3 linked regions of the Ovis aries genome follow. The protein of the gene in region 3 interacts with the protein of the main gene of each other region in a pairwise test. Links are inferred from orthologs where the notes say so. Each region holds a gene or a part of one and is shown on either strand. Other genes may lie near its edges. The genes, in order: ACTC1, myosin-7 and MYBPC3.

Region 1 (2,849 bases), on a different chromosome or scaffold from region 3:
TGTGCTAAAACCACAATTTTCAGTGTTATCATAGAAACTAATCTTCACAAGCTGTATTCTCCAATCCATTTCTCACTAATGTGGACCTAAACCTAATCACACTAATGAAATGACAGAGGATGAGATGGTTGGATGGCATCACCAACTCAATGGACATGAGTTTGAGCAACCTCTGGGAGTTGGTGATAGACAGGGAACCCCGGCATGCTGCAGTTCATGGGATCACAGAGTCAGACATAATGGAGCAACTGAACTGAACTAAAAACCTAATCTGCTTTTCAGATATAAATTATCTTCATGATTCTGTCCCAAAGGGTAAAATCAAAATTTAATATTGTAGCTCCCAGCTCAAAGTCACGCTGATGAACGGATGTGGTGCTGTGATATTACAAAGCTCATGGTATCAAGGCCATCAGTATACAAGCTCACAGACTGAGTAAGCAAACCTTGGCCCCATCCCACTCCTTCCCCAAACCCCAAACAGAAATAAGAAATGCTTGCTTTTGTAGGTTGCAAGTCCTGATCTGGTTTATTTATAAAGCAATAAATATTAGAAGCACAAATAAATTGCACGTGTGTAAACAAACTGTACAATGATTGATGAGAGATGAGGGAGGGTGGTTCAGAAGACTCCAAAAAGCATCATACCATCATCCTGAATGTAATGTAGACTAAGAGAGAAGGCACCTCAGAAGCACTTGCGGTGGACGATGGAGGGGCCTGCCTCATCATACTCTTGCTTGCTGATCCACATCTGCTGGAAGGTGGACAGGGAGGCCAGGATGGAACCCCCAATCCAGACAGAGTACTTACGCTCAGGAGGAGCAATAATCTGCAAAAGGAAAGCAAAAACTGCCAGTGAACTCTGAGGTTCCAAGCAACAGAGTAAGCAACATGGTGGGGAGATTCACGGAAAATACACCGGTGATCAAGTCACTGTAATGTGATACAAATGAATAAGCCCAGTAATCCTACAAATGAATATGGTTGACTCACAATGAAAGCATTTTTCTCTATTTCATCATTTCATGATCAAAGACTCTGTGAAGTAGAAGTTTCCCACTTCTCTGAACCAGAGAATATGCGGCAATAAGCTATAGGCATGGTGAAGCCTAGCCTGAAAGTTGGGGTCTTTTAAAATATGTTCAAAGATTCAGATTTTTTTTTTTCTCAAAGATTTATTTTTATCCACTGCTCTAAAGTGTTTTAAAATCTCCTATCTTGGGGAAAGTGCCAGTAAAGTCAGAAAAGGTGCTATAAAAGCAAAAGGTTTCTGTGAGACAGGAAGCTATTTGTGTGAGGGGAAAGGAGTTAGGAATTCTGCTTGGTTGCCCCCACCCCACCACAGAAGTTCTTTACCTTGATTTTCATGGTGCTGGGAGCCAGGGCAGTGATTTCCTTTTGCATGCGATCAGCAATACCAGGGTACATGGTGGTGCCTCCGGATAAGACATTGTTGGCATACAGGTCCTTGCGAATATCAATGTCACATTTCATGATGCTGTTGTAAGTCGTTTCATGGATGCCAGCTGATTCCATACCTATGAACAAGTTTTTAAAAAGTCACAGTGCATTCAGGCCATGGAGCCAGGGTGGAGGAAAGAGAACAAGACTCCTCTGTGTTGGTAAACTGTCACCATTCGTCTCTGAAACATATGTTCCTCTATGAGATACACTGCAGAGTTTTGAGGAACAGGTGTCTTAAAAGTGCTGAGAGTAATCTACAACAGACTGCCAAGACACAAACAACTGCTTTTAGCACCTGTTTGGAGGGAACACTCGCTGTACCCATCAGAGCCATGAAGACGTAATAGAAAAGCACGAGACACACATTCATGTGAAATGAATGTCATTCTTATTTATGGGCTAAAATAAGATACTGACAAGCTTCCTCTTGGAAATCCCTGCTTAGGAAAGATGTTCAGTGACACGTGAGTGTCCAGTTATTACCATCAGTAGGATTGTTGTCACACTTCATAATGAATGACTTGGAAGTACGGTCTAGCTACTTGGTGATGGAATATACCAGAATAAGTCAGCACTCTTGAGTCATCGTCTCTTCCTTGCAGATATGGATTATTCAGTTACTACTCTATCTCATTCCTCGTTTCAAGATGAAGCCGGTGTGTCATCCTTTATCATATCATTGCTGCAGAGGAGGAATGGCCATCCCAGCAAAAGCCATTGGGACCTGAGGCTGAACTGTGTGGGTCTCCCAGCTATGACTACTTTCAACACAAGGGCCCCTTAATCATTGTTGATTATAATAGATTTTTCTCTGGAAGCCCCAAGCTGTGTTTCTGCACCAGACCAGACAACTCACCAATGAAGGAGGGCTGGAAGAGCGTCTCAGGGCAGCGGAAGCGCTCATTGCCAATAGTGATGACTTGGCCATCAGGCAGTTCATAGCTCTTCTCCAGAGAGGAGGAAGAAGCAGCTGTAGCCATCTCATTCTCAAAATCCAGAGCAACATAGCACAGCTTCTCTTTAATGTCACGAACAATCTCTCGCTCAGCTGCAGAAAAAAAGAGGGTCACCAGTAAGCTCTGAAGAATGACATCAGCTTTGGAGAGGTAGGTGGGTTCACTGGTGGAGGAGAAAACCAGACACCTACTGTGGCAGATGAAACACACACAGACTCACCGGTGGTGACAAAGGAGTAGCCGCGCTCAGTGAGGATCTTCATGAGGTAATCCGTGAGATCCCGACCAGCTAGATCCAGACGCATGATGGCGTGGGGCAAGGCATAGCCCTCATAGATGGGGACGTTGTGGGTCACACCATCCCCAGAGTCCAGAACGATGCCTATCAGAGGCAGTAGGCAAAAACAAGGTAAATCTCTGAGGACA
Region 2 (3,649 bases), on a different chromosome or scaffold from region 3:
AGATGGTAATGAAACAAATGAGGAGCAGGATTTCGTGGAAAAAAAAAACCAACAATAACCAGCTTCCAGGGCTGTTGTAGGGTCCTTGAAAGTGTAACACCTGCTGGAGGATTGAAATTCAATAGGAAGTACAACAGGAAGAGCACTGTAGGTGGAGAGACAGGACCTGGGCTCCGAGATGCTCCCTTCTTTGGTCTGTAAAATGAGGGCATTGGACTAGACCGACTCAAAGGCACCTTTTAGCTCTGATGGTCTTTAATTCTGTGTCTGTTACTTTGGGAAATTTGGTAAGCTTTCCAAGCCTTCCTTTCCTCTTTGGTAAGTGGGGTTCAAGTACCATTCTTAAAAGGTCGCTTGAGGATCAGTGGGTTCATATAGTCATTCATTCAACAAGTACTGTGCCTGGGTACGTGTGAAGACTTTCTGGGGAGGCTGTTGATCAGGATGAGTCTCAGAGCCTTTCAGAGTCCTGACCCTAAAGCAACAGAAGATCTTTGATTGTATGAATATGTGCGCAGACTCACTCTTTGCCAAGTGTGAAATGTGTATCTACACATTTTGGAAGGTCTTGCAATAAGAATTGGAACCAGAAGATCATTGAACAAAGAAGTAGCCAGACCCTGCACTGCTCACACGTGGTGGCTGACCACGTTTCTCTGTGGTCCTCTGGGCTCTCTGTGAAGGACCTCAGAGGACTTTCCTGAGAGGCTTTTGTGTGGAACTTTCCTCTGTGTTATGCAACTGGTCTCCAAAGAGACTTGTGTATAAAGGGGGCGAGTGCCCAGCAGGAAGAGAGGGCTGGAGGGATCTGGGTTAGACTTTTGCCAGGGAGGCCTGCTGGGCCCTCATGTGTGTGTCTGGGGGAGGAAAGCTCTCTTCCTGGAGGCTCTGCCCACAGTTTTGCACCCCCTTATGGACGCTGCATGAGGCTGTTGCCTCTGAGGATGGATCTGTCGGGTCAGCTAGTACTTCCATGAGTGGACCAGGCTGCGGGTGGGGGAGGAGGATGGGTGATGGGGCAGGGAACACGCTACTTTTTGAGCCGCTCATCCAGCTGCTGCTTGTCGTTCTCCAAGTCCATGATGCTCTCCTGGGTCAGCTTCAGGTCACCCTCCAGCTTCCGCTTGGCTCGCTCCAGGTCCATTCTCACCTTCTTCTCCTGCTCCAGGGATCCCTCCAGCTGATGAAGAGAAGGACCAGTGTGACCTTAGGCCAAGTATCCTGACTTGATAATTTAGGAGCTCGTTCTTTCTGGGGCTGAGGGATCCTTAGAGGTGTCAAGACTTGGGAATACTTCCCCAGAATTGGCCAAATGTGGCCAGGGCATTGTGAGAGCGCCTACCACGGAGGGATGCTCAGTAACTCTGATAAATTACTGAATGAATGACTATAGGATAAAATCCCAAAGCTACTTTCATTTAATCATCTGCATCCTGTAAGCACCTACTGGGGTCCAGGCCCCATCCTAGGCACTGCAGATGCAAAACTGAATAAAACCAAGTTCCACCTAAAGGCAGCTTCCAGTCTATGGATGGGACCCATACTTCAATAATGATGACACAGAGCGATAAAGAATGATTCAGTAGAGGTGTACTCGAAGGACTACCTATGGGAGCAGTGATCACTGAGGACCAGATCCTGGCTAAACCATTAGAAGTCCAAAGATCCTCCTTGAGGATCTTCACAAAATTCCCAAGGAAATTCATCATGTTCTTATGAGATAACCCTCTAAATTCCGTGGTTGAATGGAGACATATAGGCTTGAACCTAAAGTGAAATAAAGAAGCCTATCTCTACTCTTGATCACATCAGCAAGGTGAGATACATAACTCTGAATTGATCACCCCTCTCCTTGTCTATTCCCCAGTTCCCTTCTAAAAGGTATCAGGAGAGGAACACTCTCTAACCCCACTCCCCCAAACACACATATGCACACACAGACACTGACAGACCTGGTACATCTAGACCCTTGTGATAGTGTACTTACATCGTCCACATGCTGTTCCAGCTTGACCTTGGCCTTGGTCAGGGTGTTGACCTTGTCTTCCTCAGCCTGAAGGTCATCCAGGGCCTGCTGGTGGGCCTCTTGCAGAGCTTTCTTCTCCTTGGTCAGCTTGGCGATGATCTCATCCAGCCCAGCCATCTCCTCTGTCAGGTTCTTCACCTGTTGGCCAAGAACCCCATCCCCCCCAGGGTCAGACATCACCAACTTGGAGACATCTATGGAGACCTCCAAGGCCAAGAGCCAGGACCACGCTCAGGTCTGGGAATCCTGAGACTTGGTCTGGATTCAAAGGGAGCTGCCTTCACCTTGTTCTCTGTTGCGTGCTTCTCCTTCTCCACCTTGGCCAGGGTCAGCTCCAGGTCATCAATGTCCCTCTTGAGCTCAGAGCACTCATCTTCCAGCTTGCGCTTCTTGGCAGTGAGCTCAGCGTTCATCTCCTCCTCGTCCTCCAACCTTTCGGTCATCTCCTTCACCTTTGCCTCCAGCTGGATCTTGTTCTTGATCAGCTGGTCACAGCGCTCTTCCGCATCAGCCAGGTTGTCTTGTTCCTGAGGGCAAGGTGCAGAGGGGAAGCTATTCGGTGGATGGGGTGGATGGCAAAAGCTTGGAGGGACAGGCTCCACCTTCACTGTAAGAGGGAAACCCCAGGATCTCCCCAGCTGAGAAGAACCTCAGAGGGATGGGGAGGGGAGGAGTTTTAGGGCAATGTGACAGGAGCACTGGGGAATGAGAGCAGAGAGGAAGGGAACCAGAAGTCTCTTTATCTGGCCCTCTTCCTCTGGTCTCCTCCATCAAAGGGGAGGGAACTGTATTTGTTGATGCCAGCACTTTACATATTTACAGCCTGGTGAGAAGGGCAACTTTATTCCCTGTCTAGAGATAAGGACATGGAGACCCAGAGATAACACATCATTTGCCTCAAGTCACAGAATTATTAAGCTATGGATCCAGGTTAAATCCTGATGGAAAACCTGTATTTTTAAGTTAATGCTTTCTCCCCTTCCCTTTCTTTGGAGGACTTTGGAAGTGTTAATTCCAGAATCCTCCGCCTGTGAGGGCACAGGATGGTGAGCCCCCAGGTAGGGAGGTGCAGGGGGTGTGGGAGATGTGGGCAGAGGCCTGGGGCTCTCACCGCCTGCACTTGGAGCTGCAGGTCATTCTTCTCCTGCAGCAGGGACACCATCTTCTCCTCCAGCTCCTTGCGCCGAGCCTCCGACTTCTCCAGAGCCTCTTTGAGGCGCCCAAACTCCTCCTTCATGGTGGCTATTTCCTTCTCTGTCTCTGCGCTCTTCAGCAGTGGTTTGATCTTGAAGAAGAGCTTCATCCAAGGCCAGTTCTTGACTCCCATGAAGGCCCGAATATTCCACTGGATAATCAGCAGGGAGTCTCTGCAGGGGCCGAGTGAGAAGGTCAGTGAGACAGCCTCTTCCCTCCTTCCGGCCCAGAGGCCCTGGCTCCTCCATCCATCCTGCACTGTGACAGCGAGGCACCACCCCCAGCCCCCACGCCCACCACTGGTGTTTGTAGCTGTGTTGTGGCCCTTTGTCACTTGAAGGTCTGGGGTGCTCTTTCTCCTTCCAGTGCTCTGAGTCAAGCTGGGCCTTAGAGGCCTGAGACCCTCCCTTTAACTTCCCTCACCTGCGT
Region 3 (4,085 bases):
CGGGCTACAGTCCATGGGGTCGCAAAGGTCGGATGCGACTGAGCGCACCCCTGAGACTATCACGCCTCTGAGCCCCCATGTCCTTCTATGCCCCCCAATAACCCTCCTCGGAGCCTCGCCAAGCTCGCTGTGTGCCGCTGACCCCCCAACCAGCTTTGCAGGCTTTCCACGACCCTGCTCTGCACCTCCCCTGTGGCTCAGGTCTCACAGTGCCCCCTGCCTCTCTGTGCCCCTGGGCCTTCCAGGGGCTCTCCACGTGCCCTCGCGGTGCGTCCCCGTGACCCTGCGCCCGCGGACCCCACCTTGCTGGTCCGATCGTAGCTGTCGCGCAGCTGTAGGTGCTGCCCCACCTTGCTGCTCAGGTCCACCCACTTGCCCTTGAACCACTTGACCACGGGCGGTTTCAAGAGGCTGGCTCCGGCCACGCGGGCCGAGAAGGTGATGTTGCCACCTGCAGGAGAGGGGCGACCGTCTGGGCTTGGGGGACGCCCTGGACCTCCGTCCCCTCTCCTCGCCCCCGGGGGCAACAGCCCCGCACTCACCCACGGTCACCTCGCCGTCCTGTGGCCTCATCACAAAGAGGCCGATGGGGTCGCCAGGGGCACTGGGGCCCTCAGGGGCCGCTGAGCTGGACCCTGTGGGCAGAGGCGTTTGAGACCTGCCCTGGGACACCCCCATCCACAGACCCGGCCTCCCTGCCCCACTCCTCTCACCTTCAGGACTAGGGGCGCCTGCTTCCACCTCAGGGGCAGAGGTTGGGGCCTCTCCCAGGGCTGCAGGGGCCTCGGTGGGGGCGGGAGCAGGGGCTGACACAGGCTCTGCTTTCCCTGGAGGGGATCAGGTCGGGGGTTGTGGAGCAGCTTCTAATCAGAGTCGCCCTGCCCCCCGCCCCAGTTATCTTGTCCCTGGTCCTTCCCATCTTTGCAGGAAGTCCATCCAGCCTGCGTTTGACCTTCTCCCTGCCCTCACCAGCTCTCTGTGCCCTCATCTCAGAGGGTCGGCCTGAACATCCCTCCTCTCCTTCTCCAGGCTCGGGTCTTGGTCCAGCCCGTCAGGCTGGGCTGGGGCTCGGCACACACCCACAGGTTTGTGGGGCTTCCCTGCCAGCACACCCAGCCCACCAAGTTCCCATCCGTGTGGGGGTGTCCAGCGGGAGGTCAGTGTTACGTCTGACTCATCTCTGAACTTCCCCCACCTCCAGAACGGCCCAGATGGGCCAGGGAGCCTCGCGGGGACACTCAGAAAGGTCTTGCTACAGAAAACGGGAAAAGGCCACGGCGGGCTGAAGGCTCACCCAGGGCCAAGGCAAGAAAGTGGGAAGACAGCTCCTGTGCGGTGATGGACAGAGAGCTGGAGGGGCTGCTCCAATTTCAGGGAAGGCTGCCCTGACGCTTACCTGCGTCTACGACCTTGAGGTCAAACTTGACCTTGGAGGAGCCAGCAATGACTGCGTAGGAGCCCTGGTCGGCGGGACCCGCGTCCCGCACTGTCAGCGTGTGCCGCGTGCCCTCGGCTGCCAGGCCGTATTTCTCGCTGGCGCTGATGTCGCTGCCCACCCGCTGCCAGCGCACCTTCAGGCCCGCCCGCTCTGTCTCGGCCTCAAACACGGCAGGGCTGCCGGCAGCCACTTCTGCGGACCGCGGCTTCTTGCTGAAGGCGGAGACTGAGGGGCCGATGGAGTTTGCAGGGGTCCCTGGCTTGCCCCTGCACCCCATTCCTACATCCCCTCTTATTAAATAAGGTGATGAGCGCTTTAATGGATCACCTCATTTAATGCTCCAGTGGCTCTACAAGGTAGGTGCAGTTATCCCCAGAGGAGGTCTCTGAGGCTCAGAGAAGTTAAGTGACTTACCCAAGATCACACAGCCAGGAAGTGGGAGAGCCAGGCCTGAGGAATTTTGCTAGGTGTGTCCCTGAAGAGCCCACCCTCTCTGCCTGTGGAAGCCCAACCCCCACCAGTTGGGGCCTTTGGCAAGGGGCCAGCATTCTGCCTACTTGGACATGGCTAAATTTGTCCTCTAAGGGCCTGGGGCTGGGAATCAGCAAGTGAGATAAAGCTGGACTGGGAGAGGGCTGGGGCTGGGGGGCTGATCCCTGACCTGGACAACCTTGGAAGGCCAGGGCGGGGACTCCAGGCTGTGACTTTCTCTGCCCTTGGTGGTGGCTCAGGGACCTCTTGCCCACCCTCTCCCCAGAGCAGAGGCCCTGCATCACTTCAGTGTGGGGGCTATGCCTGGTGTGGGGGCCACAGGGGCGCAGGCTGGCAAAGCAGAGACTCTCAGAACAGGAAGCAACCCACCAAAGCCCTCTTTGTAGAGTTGGGGAAACCGAGACCCAGAAAGGGGAGGGGCCTGTCCAAGGTGTTCAGGGAGACAGACTTGAGTCTGGAGCCATCCTGGGGTGCCTCCTGCGGCAGTCTTTCCCCAAAAGGCAAGCCGGGACCTAACCTTGCTGCAGAAGATGGGGATGCAGGCAGGGAAGGGGTTACCTGGCATCCTGAGAGTGGGGCGATGGCCCTGGGGGCTTCCTGCCTTGGCTGTCTCCCCGTCTGGGCCCCTGACCCTGGTTTACCCTCACTCTCATCAGAACGATGAGAAGGAGAAACTGAGAATTGAAAAAGGACCCAGGAGGACAGAGGCCCTGTCCTGGGAACCCCTCAGGAGCTCATTCCTGGGCCCACCCCCAACCGAGGATGTCCGCAGCCCTCCATGCCCCACGATTGGCCCCCAGCCCAGGCCTGGAGCTACCTGGTTTCTTCCCTGGCTCAGGCATCTTGAGAGAGGTCACAGCAGGAACCCAGCAGGCACAGGCCACCCAAAGAGACTCTGAGCAGGGCTCCGGTCCCCGACTATATAAGGGGCCGCCCCCTCTCCAGACCTTCCTTATCTGCACCCTGCCCGGCCACCTGCTAAATATAGACAAATTCCCGAGATCAAGGGCTCTCCAGGAGAATGTGTGGCCCTGGCTTTCTCTGCTGGCCCCTGGCCCCTCCCCCTCCTCCACCAACCCCACAGGACAGATTCTGCCCCCCAACCCTCAGTGAACACAGGGGCACCCCAAGCCCTGTCCGTGTGTCCTTGTGACAGGCAAATTGAGCGGTGGGAGTGTGCGGGGCCCAGAACCCTGAAGCTGTCAGGTCAGAGGCATCCATGTCGGGTGATGGTTACACCCACAGACCCCGAGTCCCAGCTTCCCTCAGTGTCCTTCTGAACCCCCGCAACTGCCTCCACACCCCACACCCCGCCAAAGTCGCAAAGAACGTCAGCCTCTACATAGAAAGGAGCAAATCACATGTGACCTACTGTGAGCAAGACCCACTATCAGGGAAGGTCATTTGCTCCGCCCCTCAACTGTCAGGAGCAAGGAATTCTATATACAAGCATTGTCCGTGTGGTCAACACTTGCCATCCCTTTCAACATAAATCCATTCTCTTCTGCCATTTTAACCACGTTTAAACTGCATCTCATGTCCCTGGGCCGTCTTTCAAAAGGCATCGGGACTTTGGGACTTCCCCGGTGGTCCAGGAGTTAGGACTCTGCGCTTCCACTGCTGGTGGCCAGGTTCAGTCCCCGGTCGGGGGACCAAGATCCCATATGACACAGCCAAATATTTAAAATAAATTAATCCATAAAAATTCAGAGACTGAGCTCGGGGCTCAGAGATCCATGGAGGGGGCTTATGGTTGAGTTTCCCCAGCCTGAGGGCTCAGGGCACTCCAGAGGGTGTCTGCCCCAACACAAATGGCCCCAGAATCTGGATTCTCTGAGGTCTGTGGGTTGCTGATGAGAGTTCCCTCACTCCCAGGCTGCCGGCCGCCTCTTCTTGCTACTGTTGGAAGCAAAACCCTTACAAGTCTCATGGCTCATGTTTTTCTGCCTCTCCCCTGCTGTGGGCCAGAGGCCAGCACAACCAGGCACCAGGGTACGTGGGAGGAGTTCTCTTGTGTCAGGGTCCTGCCAGCAGGGATTCCATGAGCTGCTCTGCTGCTTACCGGAGCTCTGGGGCTTCATTCTTGCTCCTGGTCAAGCTGCACTTTACCCCCTTGCAGACACATGAAGCTTCCCGCCTCGCACAGCCATGGCAG

Evidence for each region.
Region 1: the proteins of MYBPC3 (region 3) and ACTC1 interact in a two-hybrid assay, tested with the Homo sapiens proteins (2 studies listed by IntAct). The link is inferred for Ovis aries from reciprocal best matches to the Homo sapiens genes MYBPC3 and ACTC1.
Region 2: the proteins of MYBPC3 (region 3) and myosin-7 interact in a two-hybrid assay, tested with the Homo sapiens proteins (2 studies listed by IntAct). The link is inferred for Ovis aries from reciprocal best matches to the Homo sapiens genes MYBPC3 and MYH7.

The regions. Positions count from the first base shown.
Region 1 is NC_056060.1:28,471,768-28,474,616, forward strand, and holds the end of ACTC1 (actin, alpha cardiac muscle 1), read right to left. Parts: intron 2,806-2,849; coding exon 2,644-2,805; intron 2,516-2,643; coding exon 2,324-2,515; intron 1,542-2,323; coding exon 1,360-1,541; intron 833-1,359; coding exon 689-832; 3' UTR 502-688; downstream 1-501. UniProt on the Homo sapiens protein: Actins are highly conserved proteins that are involved in various types of cell motility and are ubiquitously expressed in all eukaryotic cells.
Region 2 is NC_056060.1:21,310,469-21,314,117, reverse strand, and holds part of myosin-7, read right to left. Parts: coding exon 3,644-3,649; intron 3,394-3,643; coding exon 3,138-3,393; intron 2,554-3,137; coding exon 2,311-2,553; intron 2,165-2,310; coding exon 1,988-2,164; intron 1,181-1,987; coding exon 1,035-1,180; intron 1-1,034. UniProt on the Homo sapiens protein: Myosins are actin-based motor molecules with ATPase activity essential for muscle contraction. Forms regular bipolar thick filaments that, together with actin thin filaments, constitute the fundamental contractile unit of skeletal and cardiac muscle.
Region 3 is NC_056068.1:76,122,829-76,126,913, forward strand, and holds the start of MYBPC3 (myosin-binding protein C, cardiac-type), read right to left. Parts: upstream 2,828-4,085; 5' UTR 2,773-2,827; coding exon 2,748-2,772; intron 1,664-2,747; coding exon 1,397-1,663; intron 828-1,396; coding exon 714-827; intron 636-713; coding exon 543-635; intron 452-542; coding exon 303-451; intron 1-302. UniProt on the Homo sapiens protein: Thick filament-associated protein located in the crossbridge region of vertebrate striated muscle a bands. In vitro it binds MHC, F-actin and native thin filaments, and modifies the activity of actin-activated myosin ATPase.